2 linked regions of the Drosophila melanogaster genome follow. The protein of the gene in region 1 interacts with the protein of each later gene in a pairwise test. Each region holds a gene or a part of one and is shown on either strand. Other genes may lie near its edges. The genes, in order: Spt7 and Sf3b3.

Region 1 (3,857 bases):
ATGAAGTAGCCAACGAGGAGCAACCGTTGGCCACTAGGAAGGACGAAGCACAGCCGGTAAAAAGTGAACGCTACGTGGAGGATCAGGACGCGCCTGCCAGCGATCTGCAGATCTCGCAGGAGATGCAAACGCACATTTGGCGCAGACTGAGCGGCATAATCCAGGAGCAAATCGAGTTCTCTCTGGATGTACCCAATGGCGTAGGCAAACAGAAGCCCCCACCCGACAAAGTCAAGCTCGTGTCCAATGCCGATTGCTATTTGATCGCCGATTTGGTGGTGGAAGGTCCTGCAGGTCCGAAAAAGAAACCTAACATAAGGAGACGGACCCCCGAAGAAGACCAATCCGCGCCCGAAGCTCTGGACTCTGTGGTGGTCACTGGCAACTCCATACTGGAAGGCAGGGACCTGCTGGCGTGGGCCCAGAAAAAGACGCGCCACGACAAAGTGTTCCAGTACAGAGCCAGCGATCCGAATGCAACCAAACTTGTGGCCATTGAACCCACCAACGAGTTCACCAAGCGGAGGCGACAAAACAACTGGAACGAGTCGAGGATTAGCAAAAAGATGAGCAATAAACAAAACACGTAATAAAAACTATTTAATTAGTACGTTTCCTTAGAGCTTAACTTAACTTGAGCCTAGAGATCTTAGTCGTTCTATAAAAAGTGTGAAACATTTGATTGCTAGAGATATCTCAGTGTGAGATAATGAAGTTATCCCCGCAATTTTAACAATTACGTTTCAAAAGTGGCGTGAAAGTTGCTAATCGTGGCCCCATTGCCATTTCCATTGCCGCCCGTGCTGCCATTGCCGCTCGTCCCCGTCATGTTGGAGGTATTGGACGATATCTGGCCATCGAGCAGGCCGTACAGCATCTGCTGGGAGCTGACTGTGCCACTGGAGCCCGTGCTACCGCCCAGATCCTGCAGCATATCGCCCATGGCCATGCCGCCTATGCTCTGGCTGCTGCCTGTGGCGCTGTTGTCCAGGATGTTGAGAAAGTCGTGGCCGTTGAACTCGTTGTGCTGCTTCTGCATGCTGCTCTGGCTCTCCTTCATCAGTTTGTCGTACTCCTGCAGTACGCTGTTGAACTCAGCGATCTCCGCGCGATTCCTGGCCAGCACCTTGTGCTTGTAGTAGTTGTGCACCTGGGTGAGCGAGGTGCCCGTTTGGGCGAAATGGGCGCGCTCCAGTGGGACCAGCTGCAGCACCGTGGAATTCTGCAGCCGCGGCTGACTGTCATAGTAGCCGCGATACTCGCCGATAAAGCTGCGCAGGAACTCCTCGGTGGCGTCCGTCAGCAGTTGCACCGCCGACTCGGAACAGTCGGTGAAGCCGGCCAGGCGCAGCATGCCGCACATCACCTTGCGCATCGCCTGGCGGCAAGCAGAGCTGGGGATCTCCGGATATGCCTCCGGATCCCCGCGAGAGTAGGCTGTGTCCACGGTTGGTGTGAACCAAATGGGCTTCTGAAACTTTTGGCTGCCCACCAGTTCGGCTGCGTTCTCCGGCGGAAAGTCCACTTCCGGTATCATTAGGCACGGATTCAAGAGGTAATTGGAACTTCCCTATGAATTCATTGGGTAAATTAGGTAAATACTACGGTTAAACAAGAACCAAGAACTTGCATTTTTGTTGGAGTACGTTTCAATGAGGGACTGCAGCACCTCGGTTTGCTTCATCACCTCGATGGTCTGGGTGACCAGCGCACTCCTCAGCTCCAACTTGTGGCTACATGGAATATATGGTTAGTTTACCGGCTGCGTTAAAGCTTTTCTTTAGATTTATTTACTGCTTTTCTTGCGGTTGCGGATCTCCGCGCTGGCGAATCTCGTCCAGCTTAAGTTTCTTGGCCGCCGTGGGCACGTATTTGTCCGGCGTCAGTTGACCGCCGTCATCCTCTGCGGGCAGCGAGCCCCAGTGCTCTGTTTGCATGTTTATTTCGCTTAAAAACCTACGTACAACATTTACTTAACAATATATTGTTGTTTACTTATCGGGCCCTAAAATAACATGGTTGGTTATCGGGACTATCGATAAGTTTGCTTGCGCTGGGAACGAAATACTCAACTCATTGAACCAAACAGCTGATTGTCGGTAAACATCGGCACGGCCTGCAGCGGCATCTGGCAACGTTGGCCTCGAACGTTTCGTTTTCGATAATCAGAAAGCGCTGTCGTAGCTAAAGTAAATAAAGGTTATGATAAAATAGCAACAATTTGGGAAAAACCCCATACTCAGGACAGCTGGTTCTAACAATCAGGTCGCGCTTGTATTTTTGTGGCTCACGTCACACATACATGTATTCGTTTTTTCGGCCGCTGTGACAAATGGCAACGCCACTGCAGCTGGACAAGCACACAGGCATAAAATGTAATTATTTGTTTTCGTTTCACGAATTTCAAAGGTAAAAACCGATCGCAATACGTGGTGGGCAAGATAACGCAGCGACGCAGACGACGAGTGGGACTGTCCGGCGGATTGGCGGCAGCGGGATACGGCGGATACAACGGCAATAAGATGCACCAGGAGCACATGGACCTGCATGAGCCCGTGGACTTGAACAAGGTGAGTCTTTTCTAATGGGAATCGAATAGGAAGCCCCACTCTACTGCCAAATTTTCCCTCTTCCCTGCAATTCCCTGCTAATGCGGATGTCCATCAGTCCCTGGACGAAATGACGCCGGAGGAGCGAATGCGGTAAGTGAAGTGGCCTTAGAAAATCCTTTAAATCATAACAAATTTTCGGCTATCCAATCGAACAGAGCGCAGCATCAACTGATGGTGGAGAAACATCGCGGCCACGATGCCATGCACTCCGAGATGGTGATCATTCTGTTCGTCACCCTGGTTATTGCCCAGATCATCCTGGTCGAGTGGAAGAAGCGGCACTACAGATCCTACGCTTTCGTCACCCTGCTGGCCATGTGGCTCATTCCGCTGATCATCTCCTGCAGCTTCGGCTGGCTGCGCTTCATAATCATCTGGCTGGTGTTCACCTGCATCACGGCACTGGTTATGCGACGGGCCATCAGCAAGCCCATCCAGGGCACAACGCCTAGGTGAGTCAACGTAGATAAGAACGGCGACCGACGAAGGCCAGATAATAACCCATAAAATCCAATTTCAGGCTGGTCTACAAGTGGTTCTACTTCATCTACAAGCTCAGCTATGGCCTTGGCCTGGTGGGCTATCTGGTGATCATAGCCGCCTTTCTGGGCATGAATTACATGTTCTCACAGCCACCAAACACATGGATGGATGTGGGCCTGATGTTCTGCTTCTACGGCCTGTACATCGGCGTCCTGGGGCGTGATATATCCGAGATATGTTCGGATAAGATGGCGGCAGCTATTGGCGTGAGTTGACCATTGGCCAGATACCCAGTTGGAATCTTCTAACCCTCCCGTTTGTCCCACAGTACTACACACCTCAGGGTATTCCAACACGACATCTTGATCAGAATGTCTGCGCAGTGTGTGGCAATCAGTTGCTGGTCTCGGAGAAGGAAGAGGGCGTCATTGAGAACACCTACAAGTTGTCTTGTAACCACGTATTCCACGAGTTCTGTATACGTGGTTGGTGCATTGTGGGCAAGAAGCAGACGTGTCCCTACTGCAAGGAAAAGGTCGATCTCCAGAAGATGTTCCGCAATCCGTAAGCCATTCAGAGCCATCCGTTTGACTGGCCTACTTAATATTGTTTCTCCTCTAGCTGGGAGAAGCCGCACGTTTTGTACGGTCGCCTGCTGGATTGGATTCGTTGGCTGGTGGCCTGGCAGCCGCTCATCTTTTTCATAGTACAAGGCATCAACTGGATGCTGGGACTGGAGTAGATCCTGATACCGGCACTAGC
Region 2 (8,105 bases), on another chromosome or scaffold:
TAACATATGTAAAATAACATCATTGTTTAACTCAACGAAAATGTGGCTTAATCGTTACAATTTCTTACCTTTAAAACGTTTTAGGTGCAGCGTTTGTTGGTTTTGCCCACGAAAACTGCAATAGAAAGAGAAATACAAAATTAATAACATTTCTTTGCTTTTCAATCAATAAACGCTTGAATTTGTTATCAGAAAAACATAACTTTACACTAATCAAGGCATTTCATAGGTGTCCCAAGGTAAAACTCGAAAATCATCATTGAAAACAACTATAAATAGAAACCAACTTACCTAGTTAAAAAAGAAAAGTTTCCATGATATTGAAGTGTTCCTTTGCTGGCATCTGCAAAATATAAACAATTGTTAGCTTTCTGTTCAATAATCATAAAAGACTAAATTCAGCAAAGTATTTATCAGATATTGACGTTTACGCTAATCAAGGCATTTCATAGGTGTCCCAAGGTAAAATAGCTATGTCATCACAAAAACCTATGTCCCATAGGCATATCGATTCCAACTCACCTTAGAAGGCGTATCGCGTGCGAATATCCTCCAGTTTCTTGCAGATCTGATTGGGAGTGCGGAACATGTCGCCAGCTATGCTCTTCTGCTTGGCTGCCTCAATGGACAGATACTGCTCGCAGAGATCGCCGTCGAGTACGTTTTTGACCGGATAATACGAGCTCCTGTAGCTGAGATGGTCGCGTCCACAGAGTGGAGGATTCTCATTGCGCATGTGCATCTCCAGATGTTGGAAGAAGTCGTAGTCCTCGCGACTGGTGAACGGAACAAATGCTCCAACAGTGCCACTTAGCGTGGCGTATATAAGGGCTTCCGATCCTCCAGGAATTAGCGTTGCCTTCTGCAGCGACATGATTATCTCGCCCACATGGAAGGAGCAAATGTTCTCCGACTTCTGTGAAGCACCTGACAGCAGGCCACGATCCCACAGAGACTTGGTGCCCGTTGGATCCTCGTCCACATCGTCCGTTACGGAGTGGGGCAATCGCTGAATGCTCAGGTTGCCAAACTTATCGGCTATGGCTATGGTATCATAGTCCAGCAAGGTGGTGGCCGTCACCCATCGAGGATGCGTGTCATCGGCAAATATAATCAGCTGGTTCTCCGCGCGACGATAGCGTATGAAAAATACTGATTCCTGAACATCCGACACGTAAACACGATGACCCATGGCTTGGATATTGACAATCTGATAGGGAATGTGCTTGTTCTCGCATTTGCGCAGCATTTTCTTCTTGCCGAAATCGTAGATTCGCAACATTCGACCGCAGCCAGCTAGTAGACGACCCTGGAAGCCACACAGGGCTCCAGGAATCTCGTCAATGTCCGTGCGGTGCATGAATTCCAGACTGGAGCAAGTGGGATCTATTTTGTAGATATCTATGCAGCCGCCTTGCGAAATCCTGGGATTCAGCTGCAGATCCTTGGCGATTCCCACGGCCAGGTAGTACCGGCCATCAGCCGCTATGGAGAACTTCAGCATGGCCATCGACATAATGGCCTCGTTTTGGGTGAGCGGCACACTAAACATCGTCTGACCATGCATTGCGTCCAGGCAACGGATTTGCGAGGCCCAAAGACCCAGTCCTGCTTTGGGCGACGAAAACACGTCCTCGGGAAGGACTTCGTTGATGAAAGCATTGGCCATTTCGCGGGCCAACTCCCTTTCCTCATCGCCAGCTGCACTGCGCATCTCCTCCGCCATTTGCTCCTTTCGGGCACTCTTCGTATCCTCTGTGTAGGCGTTGTGATCGGTTTCGGCAATTAGCATGCGTCCCGTATCCGGATGGATTACAAAGGTACGTGGAGTGTACTGCAAGGGGAACGCTACTTGATTGAAGACGGCTCCCAGTTTCTCCAGGGCCAAGATCCTCAAGGTGTTGGTGGATATAGCCACGATACCTTCGCTGCACTGCTCGCTCGAGAAGCCAGAAGCATACTCAAGGGTTTCATAAGACAGAGGCGTCAAATGGAATCGATTTTGGTGGTAGTACGACAGCCAGGTTCGACTGGACATGGCCAGCACCGCTTCGGATCCCTGCATCTTGATCCGGAAGAGCTTTACGGGTCGGGAACCCAAATATCTCGTTCGGGTGTCTGCCAAATCTCCGGAAACAGGATCGAGCACAGTTCTCAGCAGGACACCGTTGCTCAAGCCAATGTTTAGGTAAATGGTTCCCTTATTGTTGCCACTGCGCTGAGCGGGAGCATCGTCATCCAAACCTCCCTGAGTCGTGCTCTCCGTGTGACCCATTTCGACCAGGCAAAGGGATTCGGCTGGCGAAGGCAGGGCCTGCATGGAGCAGGGAGTGAGACAGTTGTTGGGATCCAGCGATAAGATGCGCACTGTATTATCCGCCAGGCCGACGGCCAAGAACCAGGATCTCTGCTCGCCCTCCGGAACAGTTCCCAAGGCCATGCACATAATCTCAGCAGGCATCTCGGAACGTTCCGTGTACTCGTTCAGCTCCCCAGTCTGCAAGCATAAAATGTATTCATTAGTTGTGAAGTTAAGTAAACGAGGATAAGGCTTTTGGTTGATTTTGAAGCTCAGCACTGCAGGACACATAGTGTCTCAACATGATTGTTCTTTTCGTGTTTTTGTCATCAGAGCAAGAAGTCAACAGTTGAGTGTAATATAGTAGTAGAATTGCTTACCGGATCCATTTCGAAGTAGACCAACTCCCTGCCCGACAAGGTGATGACCACCTGGCGCTGATTCACGGCGCACTTGGTAATGGACTTCTTGCCCGGAGCCTTCCACTCGTTCACACGCTTGTCGGATCGGATATGTCGAATGCCATCGGGGTAAACCTGAACCAGCGCATCATCGCCCAGGGCGGCACAACAGAGCGTGGGCGTGGTGCCCAGGAAACCGCTGTCCGTGACTTCCTCGACGGTTTCGCCAATGCTCAAAACCAGGGTGGCATTCACGAAGGACACGATGATATAGGCATCAAACTCGTCTAAAAAATAGGGGAGCAAAACAATACTTGGAACGTGAGTACTTCAGTTTGAATCGAGCAAGCGAAAAAGATCTGCGTATCACACAAGACATTGAATAATCAGTTTATCAAGTTGTAATCAATGGATAATTCAGCTGAAACACGGTTGATAAATATCGCATCATGTTCAATGTCCGACTGGCTTAAATATAGTTAGCTTTTGTTCTGTTTTCATTGGTATAGTAGCAGTGGTAGTTGTAGTATCTGTTTGACTTATGAGCTGCAGTAAATGTTGCCTTACCTATCGCTTCACAAAAGACAATTTAAAATTACACAAACGAGAGAAATTCTCTTTAATCGCTTGTCTTTTTCGATAGTTCACACATATTGCCGTCTGTGTTTAAGCGCCTGAAATAAGAGAGAACTGGTGGTTGATAACTTGTGGGACTTGTTTGGAATCGTGCGTAAAGCTAGGTGTAATCTATATCTCGATCTGTATCAATGCACCAGTTGAGTTATTAGCCACGTTTCAGTCTTAGTCTAATCTTAGCTTAGGAATCATGATTAATGCCCGCAGACACACTCACCATCAGCTCGTTTCTTCACAGTCCAAACCGCATTGGGATTACCAGGCAGTTCGGAAACGGCCATCTCGGACACCTCGAGGCCGTGGCGCAGCACCCGCAGAGTGGAACGCGGTCCTCGTCCGCAAAGAACGTACAGTTGCGGTGTGTCCTCGTTGGCCAGATCAGCCACCTGGGAGGTGATGATCGGTGCGAAAGAGGGCAGTTCATCCACAAGCACCAGGTTCTTTAGGGCACGTGGCGCAAAGAAGAAGGTTTCACCCTCCTCCAAAGGCATGGCCGAACTGAACTCCGGCTCGTCATCGTCGTCACCCAGATGAGCGATTTGATATAGATAGCTGAGGGTTACACAAATACCTCAATTAGTACCCATTCATATTATTCTCAAATGAATGATTTGTAGATACTCACTGGTTGCCAAACTCGCTGGCCACGAACAGGAAACCCGTCTTTAGCACGCACATGGCAGTTGCCGGCGGCACTGTATCGAAGTACTTTAGCTTGATCTCGGAGACCACATCATCGTCCGTTTCCAGGGTGATCTTAAAGATGTCTCCCTGCTCGGTCTGCAGCAGGAAGAAGTACATGCTCTTGGTGCGATGTGTGGCCGAGCAGATGAAGATCATACCACGTTCGGGATCATCCAGATCGTTTCTCCTGCGCGGAATGGGACAGCGGATATCGTGCTGATCGCCGAGATTCTTGTACGTTAGGTAGTTCTCCGAGCAGATCAGCACGCCCGAAGGACCATCGTTGCCCCCAGGCACGGATACCAAGAAATTGGCGTGCTCTTCCAAGGGCTCCGAGTATTTGCGAACCACGTGGTTTAAGCCGAGATCCAACTCGTAGAAAGTCAGCGTTTGCTGAGTGCGCTGGGCGGCGTCACCTGGAACAAATAGATGCGACACTGATTAGTTACAGGACTATAGCATTGTACTATCAAAATGTTATCAATTGAGATTAGGAAGTGTGGGTCACAAATCAGTGAAGTGTGGCTAGGCAATTACAGCAACACCAATGGTTCAGTGATCACGATTTATCTGGCACTAAGTACAGTCAGTGTTCGTGGTGTGGATCCACTAAACCTGTGAATTAAAGCGCCTTCTAGGGTCTACACGCCACCTAGTTGATGCTTACCCGATGGATCCATGTCGGCCTCTTCGTAGTCGATCTCTAGGCAGGCGAACATGGGATTATCGAAGCCCACATCCACGCCGACCATGTGGTATGTCAGTGTATTCGATTTGTGGGCCTCCAGGGGCGATGAGATCGTGAGGCGAGCCTGCGTGTCCCGGTTCATGATGTAGGCCAGCTTTTGCTTCTCCACGGCGCCAATCATCACGGCTCTTCCTTTAGGATCGATGGCAAAGTATTGCCCAGGCACAATCCTGCGACATCCCGACTTTCCGAACGTCTCCTGGTGCACTTTTTCAAGAGCATTCTTGGAGGGATTGTACTCGAGGATCACGATGCGTCCCGAGTCCGAGCCCACAACTATGTAATCTGCAAAGCAAGGTAACGATATTCGAGATTAGGGTCATACATTTAACACTTTCTAATGACTATAATGATATTTTATTGACTTTGTAACTCGAAGTTTCAATTCGCCACTCCGTTGAGTTGGTTTATGGCAAATGCGACGTCAAGTCTTTCGGTTTCTCTCGCACTTAGACGCGTTCAAAGGTCTTACTGGGGTCAACTAGCCGTCTGTTGCCTCAATAGGGATTTGTGCGACTTACATAGATTATATAGGAGCAATACATTACTCCCAATTGATGGTACAAAACTAAATTACAATTGAAAGACTCACCTTTAGTGCCGCCCGTCAGTCGAAAGGCCATCAGGGCGCGAACGCATCCGAATATCTCCGTGGAGAGCAGGGTGTGCACCTTGCCGGTGTTGGAGTCCGGACGCAGTAGCTCCAGCGACTTGCCACGCGACAGGAGGACCTCCTGCTGCTTGCCGCCGGAGAAGTTGCCGTGGACCGCGTGGGTCACGCCGGTGGCCTTCTGCAGGGTCAGGTTGTACAGATACATGGTGGAGCACTACACTCTTTCACTTTTGTCCACGACTGCAAGAGAAGCAATGTTGAGGTTAGGTACAGTTGCAGACAAGGGAAAAAGTCACGTGAATGGCGGTGTATTTTTTTTTTTGTGAATTTGTACTACTTTGAAAACCATGGCCACAGTATGGAAAGTCGTGTCGCCTAACGATGCTAGTAAGCAGCATTTAATTCTTAGTTTAGCACGCTTCAAATGCGACCAAAGCACAGACATTTCTGATTTCTGGAGATACTTCGTGCGGAAAGCGCTTAAATAATAGTAGATATCAGTGCTAGCACGTGTATTTGTTTACCTTCGGCTGGTTAAATGGATGAATTAGCACATTTCACCAGCGATGCCTTTGGATTCGAATTTTCCTGATTACTCAGAACTCTTCATTTTCACATCTGCTCTGTTCGCCGACAAAAAGTAAAAGAACTATAAAAGTAAAAATGGTGGTGCATAAAATGTGGCTTGACTTATCGATAGTGCGCGGCCGTCGATTTTCCTATCGATAATAGGCCCGGTTCAGACTGATTATAAATTAAATAATTATTTTACTGGAAATTGTTGCTGCAGAAATCATAAGTTTCCTAAAAATCCTGGTCAAGATATATCGAATTTATCCTTTATTAAATATACCACATTTAAATATTCGGAAATTGCCATGGGCCAATCCCAGTTCCACATACCAAAAACTGCCTCAAAAGCTAAACATATAATATGCAATTTTCTGTGAAAAAATGGAAAATTTCAAGGATCTGTAAAAATATGTACTGGATCAATCGTTTTATCTTTCTTTAACTTAAAAAATTTTTATCATGGGCTTAAATGAAAACAAAACCACTCACCGAATTGTGGCTAAAGGGCTGGGCTCAATACTATGCTATTAAGGTATGATTAAGGAGAAAACTTTAAAGGTATTTAAAAAAAATAAATAGATCAGTCCCCAACTATTTTTTTCTGTTTATTCGATCTCTACTTGAGTATATTTTTACGCGGCGTTGGCTCATGTTATTAGACTAATTAGAAAAATCATCAATTATTACTTAGTAAACTAGGTTTGTTGACTATCGATATACCAACTTCAGATTCGCGACATCTCTAATCAGTCATGGAATTGTCAGTGTTGTAAAACCTGAAATGTCATTGCATCTTTGCTTCTTCAAAACAGCTGACAGCTAAAAACAAATATTTCGTGATTTTTGTAAATATTGCTAACGTTTTAATATGGAGGAGCAAGAGGATCGAGAAAAGCTCTACGAAGAAGCCCACAAGAAAGTAAAACTGGGCGAGGAGCTGAAGAAAGCGCTGAAAGACTTCGAAGATTTGCCTGGTGTCAGCAAAGTACAGCGAAAAATTCAGCAAGAGCTCAAATTTCTAAATAAGGTTTGTTTGCCTATTTTTCATGATAAAAACATTGAGTAAAAGCATTTTCCTTCAAGGTGATTACTACAAGGTCCGTAAAGGAACACCACATAACCAGCAGTAACTTTGTTTACTACGATTTTCTCATTAAAACTCTGCGTTTGCAACAAGGAGTAGTCGACATCAATGCCGTATTCCGCCTGGAGTCTAGGGATAGTCCCCTGAGAGTCGACATCGTGGCCAACAATGGACTCAAGTGGGTGAAGGTGATAGCCAGGAACTCGAAGTCCGTCGAGGACGCGGCCAGGGGATGTGTCAGCATCGGAGCCCGAAGTGTCATCGACCAGGCGGAGGATTATCTGGAGGCCAGCGAACTTAGTTTCTGCATGTTCCAGAGGCCGAAGGTAATGCCTAATAGTATGCTACCCTAGACAGCATTCATCATCTGATATACTGCCTTTTAGATAGTATTCTACTTCTCCAACAAAATCGAGGACTCCCTGCATGAAGAGCTAATGGAAATGGGCGTACAAACTGCTTCCCTGGACTCACCAGACACCGACTTGGATATGTACGCCACGACGTCGAACGAACTGAATCTAGATGTGACCACATTGCTGGCCTACGTTAGTGCGCTCACCAACGGATCCGCCAATTGGGTCTACAAGGAACCTCTGCTCACCGAACAGGCGGAAAGGGAAAGAGCCTCGCCGCTAAAACCGCTCCTCGAGAAAATCCTAGAGGGAAAAACCTTGGTCTGCTGCCAGTTAGCCTACGATGCCTTCCAGAGTATTTTGGATATTGTAGGCGGCGAGGGCGAACGGAAGCGAGCCGAGGAACTGATGAAACGGGTCACCGTTTATCCGGATGTGGAAACAATACCCGAAGAATTCTCCCACATACGTTTCACTGCCAACGTAAACGAGCGAAGTCTGAAAATCTTTAGTTTCGGCATGGCCAGGCAAATTTTCACTGTGACTTCGAATAAGGCCTTTGTGAGATCAGCTAAGATGCAGGTATGCATGAATGGAAAATGTGATTTTGTCCTGTCTTTAATGTCTGTGCTTTACAGGGTATCAATGTGCCTGTTTTTGTACACGCTTCAGTTGCACTTACCGAAGGTAAGCAGGCAACAGGAAGACCGC

What was found.
Region 2: the proteins of Spt7 (region 1) and Sf3b3 interact in a two-hybrid assay, tested with the Drosophila melanogaster proteins (one study listed by BioGRID).

Annotation. Positions count from the first base shown.
Region 1 is NC_004354.4:17,848,621-17,852,477, reverse strand, and holds Spt7 (Spt7), read right to left. Parts: upstream 2,019-3,857; 5' UTR 1,938-2,018; coding exon 1,795-1,937; intron 1,734-1,794; coding exon 1,631-1,733; intron 1,571-1,630; coding exon 737-1,570; 3' UTR 591-736; downstream 1-590. Other genes in the region: CG32554 (uncharacterized protein), read left to right, coding at 1-590; CG15814 (uncharacterized protein), read left to right, coding at 2,523-2,570, 2,668-2,702, 2,768-3,064, 3,133-3,361, 3,424-3,659, 3,717-3,837. UniProt on the Drosophila melanogaster protein: Component of the transcription regulatory complex SAGA, a multiprotein complex that activates transcription by remodeling chromatin and mediating histone acetylation and deubiquitination. The SAGA complex predominantly acetylates histone H3.
Region 2 is NT_037436.4:827,355-835,459, forward strand, and holds the start of Sf3b3 (splicing factor 3b subunit 3), read right to left. Parts: upstream 6,032-8,105; 5' UTR 5,906-6,031; intron 5,856-5,905; exon of another isoform or gene 5,708-5,855; intron 5,622-5,707; 5' UTR 5,587-5,621; coding exon 5,361-5,586; intron 5,286-5,360; exon of another isoform or gene 5,133-5,285; intron 5,054-5,132; coding exon 4,688-5,053; intron 4,655-4,687; exon of another isoform or gene 4,516-4,654; intron 4,437-4,515; coding exon 3,962-4,436; intron 3,889-3,961; coding exon 3,554-3,888; intron 3,375-3,553; coding exon of another isoform or gene 3,367-3,374; exon of another isoform or gene 3,268-3,366; intron 3,158-3,267; exon of another isoform or gene 3,083-3,157; intron 2,988-3,082; coding exon 2,680-2,987; intron 2,639-2,679; exon of another isoform or gene 2,498-2,638; coding exon 524-2,497; 3' UTR 523-523; intron 490-522; exon of another isoform or gene 410-489; intron 344-409; 3' UTR 292-343; intron 267-291; exon of another isoform or gene 183-266; intron 116-182; 3' UTR 69-115; intron 30-68; exon of another isoform or gene 1-29. Other genes in the region: CG42553 (uncharacterized protein), read left to right, coding at 6,823-6,981, 7,038-7,364, 7,425-7,976, 8,033-8,105. UniProt on the Drosophila melanogaster protein: Involved in pre-mRNA splicing as a component of the splicing factor SF3B complex, a constituent of the spliceosome. SF3B complex is required for 'A' complex assembly formed by the stable binding of U2 snRNP to the branchpoint sequence (BPS) in pre-mRNA.